2 linked regions of the Canis lupus familiaris genome follow. The protein of the gene in region 2 purifies or fractionates together with the protein of the main gene of each other region. This does not show direct contact. Links are inferred from orthologs where the notes say so. Each region holds a gene or a part of one and is shown on either strand. Other genes may lie near its edges. The genes, in order: VAPB and RAB3GAP1.

Region 1 (3,822 bases), on a different chromosome or scaffold from region 2:
AGTCCCAAGGAACCGACAGCTGGGGACAGAACGTGGAGCAGCAGCCCAGAGAGTGAGTGAGTGGGTGGGGCTTGCTATGTGGAGGTGACGGCCCTCCCCACCGCACTGGGTTCCAGCTCCCCAAGGCCCGGCACCAACAGGCAGGAAGAGTGTCTTGTTCTAAGAGAAGTAATCAACCCAGCCACATGTACCAAGGCTACACATGTTTAAAATGACACGACATGCCATTACGATTTAATCACGGTTTCCCTTGTCATTAATAAAGACCATTCTTTTCCCCCAATCATTTACTATACATTTTTAACTCTCTAAAGGATTGTTACGTTATAATTGTGTGTGTGTATGTGCACGCGTGCGCACGCGCAGGGAGGGAGTAATTTAAAGGCAAGACCTGTGAGATGTCATCATACATGAACTTCTTTTTTACACATGGTTATGATAAAGTCAAAGCCCAGGGGATGGCGGGCCCATCAATCCAGTGTGCCGCCCTGTGCCCACTGCCTCTACAAGGCGATCTTCCCTATGATCACACCGACGATGAAGAACAAAACCACGAGGGCGAGGAGCCGGGCGCTGAGGCCCTCCTCCTTCCCAGCTGGAGCTAACACAGGCACAGGGCTGTTGCTCTGAGCTGTCTTCCTCATCCGGAGTCCATCTTCCTCCTACGGGAGCAAAGGCACATTTCAAAGACAACCCAAGGCACCAGAAGCAAAAGTCAACTGTCAGTTCAACAGGATGGGCCTTTAAAAAACACACTTGAATCACATGGTGTGGGCCAGCCTCCTCATTTTTCAAAGGGAGAAACTGAATCCCACAGAGAAGGCACTGGGTTGAGGTCACTCAGAATATATTGCCAGAAACCCCTCTTTCCTTCCACCCACCTACACAATGCTGCTAGGCACCTTTTTATACCATACATCTAAGTACCTTGGTTCCCCAGGACTTACAGAAAAAAGCCTCTGAAAGGCTCAGCCAGTCTCTTCTGCCCCCAGGAGCCATCTACCTCTCTGGCCATGCCTCCGGGCCACCCTTCTACATCGGACTCCAACCCTCTCTGTCTTCCCTCCCTCTACGGAGCAGGCTTCCCTAACCAAGTCATCCAGTTTTGAAATGATAGGCATTTCTCAAAGCACAAATATAAAAATCACAAGAAACTACACTGTGCAGCAGCTTTCAAATGCAGAACTCTGTATTGATGAGTTACATGTAGACTGCTGGACAGAAAACATGATATTTGGAATATTAAAATGTGACTGAATCTCATATATGCAGCTCAGATATTTTTCTACTTAATGCATGGAATAGAAACTTTTTCTTCCTTTACTCCCAAGGCCAACTCCACACCCCTCAACAGGGCATGCAGCAAGGCCTCTGTACTTGGGCTCAGGTGCATCTCTGGCTAATTACCCCAACTACTCATCCCCAAACCTGTCCGTCCTGGAGACAACAGGCAGGCCATTGTGCTGACTCTCCACAGCACTTGTGGCCATCTCTGTGGGGCCACTCATCATTCAGCTCATCAGTACTTTTGTCCCCAGCTACCCTGGTCAGCAGGGAGCTCCTCAGTGGCAGGGACAGCTTGTATTTGTGCCCACAGTGCTAGTACATGGGAGGGGCTCAGAAAATGTGTTGGCCAAATGAAAGAATGAAACAACACAAAACAAGAAATCAGTATTTGGCAGGATAAAGAATCTTCTAATGTCAAGATTGGTCTGATAATATTTTAAAGATATTCTGCTCATGGGGCATGGCCAATATCGCTGCACAGTGATAAATGACTGGTGTTATTCGATTAACTTCAAAAAAAAATGGGCACAGCAAAATACAGCATTTATTTTATTGGGTTTATACAGAAGCTATTTCTACCTATTTATCACTTTAAACGGCACAGGACTCTGTTTCTGAAGAGAAATACACTCAAGGAGAAGCTTTAGGCATATCTTAGATTTTTAGTCAAAAAGTAAAGTGTCAGCTTCATAATTTACACCATACTAAAAGAAGTTACTGAACGAGGCAAATCAAGATTACTGCAAAAAAAAGAAGATGATGCCATTCTCCAGACACTGTCAGGTCTCCTGTATCTATAACACTGTCAGAATAAAAGAAGGAGAAGTCAACTGAATGGAATGTATTTATTACATGTGTCTAGTGCTATGGTGGTTAAAGAGCAAAAGCCTAGGGCATGGGTGAGTGGCATGATCGAGAAGTGAACAGACCAGCCTCATATTTAAGCTGCAACAGACGTTCCTATGACCAGATGCTCAGAACCATTCTCTTCAAGACCATGTCTGAAATAGACATACTTTTAAGGCTGGACGGCGCCTCAGACAGGTTTTGTGAGTCGAGGCCCAGGAGATGCTGTGACCATCACAGATCCAGAGCTAGTCAAGTGTGAGCAGTCACTGGCATAACACCGTAGGCCAACAAGGCCAAATGAAGTGCACCCTACTTTCCTTTACTGCCCAGTTCAACCTGACCCTCTTAACACCCATGCCAACTACCTCTTCAACAGCCACAAGCTGGAGACCCGGGTTTCTCCTTCTATAATCTCCACCTGTCTACTGTGACAACTTCCCATCTCCAATCTCATCACCATGTGAACCAATCTGAGGAGATCCTACTGCCCAGACCCACCTAGAATCTTCAAAAACCAGAATTATGCCTATGTTAAAAGAGTACAGGTATTTACCTATTTACCCTCCTAAAGAAAAGATTCTCACCTACTGGGGATATAGTAGGGTTTGACACTGTGAATTCAGGATAACCACTGCAGTTTTGTGTTTAGTCTCAGAATTTATCTTCAGTTTACACTAATGTGAAGGCAAGAGGAGCTCTTACAAGAGGACAAGAGTCTGCAGGCTGAGGCCGGAGAATGGAACCACTGTGAGCTCAGGGCACAAAGCCTGGGTTCAAGTCTCACTGCAAGTACGACCTCAGGCAAGTCACTTAACCTCTGCTCCTCAGTCTCCTCACCTGCACACTGGGGATGGTAACAATCCCTACTCACAGAAAGGTTTAGAGGATGAAATACATTATTACAACATATCAAATACAAGGGAACAAGAATTTAAATAGTTGAAAAGCTTCTCCTCAGACACTGGTTAACTTGAGGGGTGGGAGTGGGGTGGCAGGAGGGAATCAGAGCTCTTTTGAGAACCTGATGAAAGCCACAGAAATTTCTCCCTAGGGGAAGAATGTGTAAATACAAAACAACTCTACAAATTCAGGGATTTGTCAACTCCCCCACTCAAGATCAGAGTGTTAAAAAGTCCCTGTTTTTTATAGATTATCAAGAAATAAAACACTATTGGAGTGCTCAGTTGATAGAGCGTGTGACTCTTGATCTCAGGGTTGTGAGTTCAAGCCCCATGTTGGATGGAGAGATTACTTAAAAAAATAAAATCTTAAAAAAGAAAAGAAAAGAAAAGAAAATGCCATTACCTTGAATTGCTTGTTTTCCTCCCGGAGCCTCTGCACTTCACCCTGCAGCCTCTTACACTCTTCCATCACCTTCTTAACTTCAGTGTCATCCAAAGAAGAACTCAGAGCTTTAGACACCGTTGGTGTTTCTGTCTTTGATGCAGTTGTGGGTATAATTTTATTTATTTCTACATCATGCTGTTCAGAAATAAATGAAAGCGCAAGTGTCACCAACTATGTAATAAAGGACTTTTTTATGCAAAGTAAAGTAGTTCTCGGCAAACACCACACGTGGTAGCGTTTCATCCACACTGTAAAATGTCACATTTATTTTAAAAATGGATCACTTTATCTAGTATCTTAATAATCTAAAGCAACTGGGCCCCAGAAATTATGGATAAG
Region 2 (3,432 bases):
ACAGGGTATAGTTCTTCTTTGCAAGCAATTTACAATATTTTCCCAACTCTTCATCAGCTCCTACGCATCTTCTGGTCCCAACCTAGAAATTACCTCTATGAAGATATTCCTGATCCCTAAGCCTGAGTAAAAAAACCTCTCTTATAATACCTTATTATTAGACACATTATTCACTAATAATGCATGTATTACTCTCTGTTGCTACTGAATGAATTTATACAATAAATGCTGGACCTCCAGTTCACAGATGAGTTGACTATACTCTCCATTTTATGGCAATGTAGCATCAACCTTCCCTACATGACAGAAAGGTCACTGAAAAGGAAGGAGTGTACTGCTATGTTTTATCTTTACTGCCTAGTATAGTGCCTGAAAGCAGGTGCTTAAAAATATCTGTGAAATAAACATAACTATAATAAAAGTAAAGTGGGGTAACTGCCACTAAAAAAGAAGGCACAGAGAGCGTTCTTGAGACCCCTGCAAGACTCAGCAGGCTGCAAATATTTAGGAAGATGTGAGACAGCATAAAACTAACTGAAATAAGACCAAAGCGCCCACCAGAGGAGAGAAAAGAAAAGTAGCCAGAGAAAGCAAGACTTTTCTTTTTATTAGATTTACAATGACATTTTAAAGTCCAACCTCTCTTTAAAAAACGTTTCTTTGCTTTAACTTCCTCACCGGAAAGCAGACAAATCCTGTCCTTGAAAGATCCATTTTCTACTTGATACAGTGCTCAGTACTCAGGCCTGATCTGTATGGTTTACCAGCAGCAGTCAAGTCCAGCATCTCAGAGAAAAGCACTGTGAAGGCTGGGAGGCAAATCAGGACCAATCAGGACCTCCCCTACTTCATATATACATATATACATATATATGTGCACACAGACATATATATGTACACTTTTTATTACAAAAATAATATAATTAGGTTTACACAGCTCTATTAATTATTTAAATTACAGAGGCAAAGTCTATGCTTCAGATAATCATTTTTTGTTTTGGATTAAAATGGGAAGTTTAGGCCTAAAAATAGATTTCAGACTGAACAGAGGCCAAATAGCAACAGAGACTTAATAAATCTTGATCACCACATAACTAGAAATATGTTGCTCTTATTCTTCTATTGGGTGCTATATATCCCCAACGATTATTTTCATTTTAACTAAAACACAAAAGCAAAATAGTTCACTGAAATAATCTTATATTCATTACATTAGCACATACACCAAATTATACTAACGACATGATAATCTCTATGTTCCAAAGTTATATTTGTAGCATGTGCTCATCTCTACTCCATTAAATATAGTATCTAGCCAACAATCACAAAAGGAATGCATGCTGTACCGCAAGAGATGGGAACAGTTTGCAGGTTGGCATCTTACTGCAACCAAAAACAAAACAAGAGAAACAAACCTTACAAGGTAAGGTATAAAACTAATTTGCAGTGACATTTAATATATAGTTATATCAGAAGGAATACATTTAGGTCATAGTTAACATGGAAAAACACATAAACTATGAAATTCTAGGTTTTCTCCTAGAATATTCAAAATACTCATCAAAAGTTAATTAGTACAATTAAATGGCCACTAGATGATTGAATAAACAATGTCATTTAGTATTTCAAAAACACAGATTCTGGGAAAAGAAGCTACCACCAAAATATCCAGAAATCCCAATTAATAGATACTCTGTTTTGCATACCTGATACTAACACATGTAACAAATGTGTTTATACAGACTGTGAATGCAAGGCGACAGCCTAAGAGATAGTCACGGGAAAGAATAAATGAGCACAAGCACAAGATAGTCACGGGAAAGAATAAATGAGCACAAGCCCACTTTTCCCATGGGAAAGAATAAATGAGTGAGTACAGAGAGCTCGTGTTGCTTTTCTGGTCCCTGCACATCCCCCCAACTCCTACCTAAGATCCCTAGTCAAACAAGGGCCATCTCTTTGGGGAACATATCTTTCAATAGCTCAAGCTCATTCTCTCTGACCCAACCAAGATACAAAAAAGCCCAAGCACGGTGCTGGAAAGTCTTTCAGATGCTGGTATGATTCCTGATCATGAGACTGGACAGGTCCTCTTCATGGCCTCTCAAGTTCTGACTGGCACAACCTTGCTCCCACAGGAGTGGTCAGCACAGTCTCTGAAGCCATAAATGAGGTTGCTCTAGAAGAATTAGAAGAAGGTGGTATCTGATGAAAAGGCACCTGCAAGTCTGAAATCCTCTTTGGTGAGAACACTGTACATGCGCTGAGGCAGAGCACGGGAGTATGGAGCCGGGCGTGGCACAGTGGTGCGCAAAATGAGTTCCCGGCCAGCAGGAGGGGGGAAGTCTGACACCGAGTTGTGCCTTCTCTCTTCTGGAGAGCCCATTCTCTTCAGTTCCTCCTCTGGTGGAGCCACGGCTGCAGCCTTGAACAGAATCAAATGCTAAATTCAAGAGCAAGTCCAATGCTAAACTTCGATCATTTTGAAGGACAGATGAATAAACATGACATATACATAAAAAAATGTTCTACATTACTCAGTAATGCAGTCAGCCATGTTATGATTACTCAAAAACACAGAAAAAGCAAGAAGCTTGAAACACTGCATGAGCAGCCAGAGATTACAAATAAACTGGTGACAGAGACAAAGAGATAATGACTGCCAAGCAATCTGCTTTGAAAAGTGAGGGCCATATTCCGACATCTGATGAAGAGGGAAAGTGTAGTACTGGTTTCTACACGTTTCTTCTAGCAACAACCCAAGTTCAAGTCTGATGTCCTCAGTCCAGTAAGGAGCTGCTTCTCCCCAGAGTCTGGGAAAATGGTTTTTATCTCCACTCTTTCATTTCTTTTTAAGGTTCACTTGACAAATTAAAACTGGGGACACTGGTTTTGTTTGCTGAGCGGCTAAGGTGATAAAGAAGTGATACAGGTCCATGTAATACAGCAATGGCCACAAAAGAGAAGTTCTTAGTATTAAAGGCATCTATTTTTTGCATTAAAATTGCATTAAAAAATCCAATTAGAGCTTTCATTTCAACCTTGATCAATATACTTTTTTCATTTCTCTAATTACTTGATTTCTTTCATAACACCATCAATATAAAAAAAAGAGTATTGTTTTGGCAATGGAAATACGAAATCATGTTATACTAAACATCAGCATGAAAGGTATGCCAAATTAGACTGTTAAAGAGGTGGTTAGTCTTAATGACCTTATGAAGTTAGAGGGATGGGAAGGAACAAGGAACTATGAGGGACAAAAGCTATTTTGTTACCTCATCAGAAGATTCAGTCAGCTTGAGAAAAGGTGAGAAAAGAAACAGTGATGAAAAGGAAACGAGCAAGATGGTTTTAAAAGAGCTAGACAAGAGATTTCAAGATCATTTCAGAGACAGCATGCACTACATTAAGGAACATGATCCTATCAAA

Evidence for each region.
Region 1: the proteins of RAB3GAP1 (region 2) and VAPB purify together in Homo sapiens (affinity purification with mass spectrometry; 4 studies listed by BioGRID and IntAct, counting the BioPlex papers as one, with this or other methods). This does not show direct contact. The link is inferred for Canis lupus familiaris from reciprocal best matches to the Homo sapiens genes RAB3GAP1 and VAPB.

The regions. Positions count from the first base shown.
Region 1 is NC_049245.1:43,975,928-43,979,749, reverse strand, and holds part of VAPB (vesicle-associated membrane protein-associated protein B/C), read right to left. Parts: intron 3,619-3,822; coding exon 3,442-3,618; intron 663-3,441; coding exon 504-662; 3' UTR 1-503. UniProt on the Homo sapiens protein: Endoplasmic reticulum (ER)-anchored protein that mediates the formation of contact sites between the ER and endosomes via interaction with FFAT motif-containing proteins such as STARD3 or WDR44.
Region 2 is NC_049240.1:39,439,605-39,443,036, reverse strand, and holds the end of RAB3GAP1 (rab3 GTPase-activating protein catalytic subunit), read right to left. Parts: intron 3,300-3,432; coding exon 3,279-3,299; intron 2,908-3,278; coding exon of another isoform or gene 2,872-2,907; exon of another isoform or gene 2,502-2,871; intron 2,426-2,501; coding exon 2,189-2,425; 3' UTR 587-2,188; downstream 1-586. UniProt on the Homo sapiens protein: Catalytic subunit of the Rab3 GTPase-activating (Rab3GAP) complex composed of RAB3GAP1 and RAB3GAP2, which has GTPase-activating protein (GAP) activity towards various Rab3 subfamily members (RAB3A, RAB3B, RAB3C and RAB3D), RAB5A and RAB43, and guanine nucleotide exchange factor (GEF) activity towards RAB18.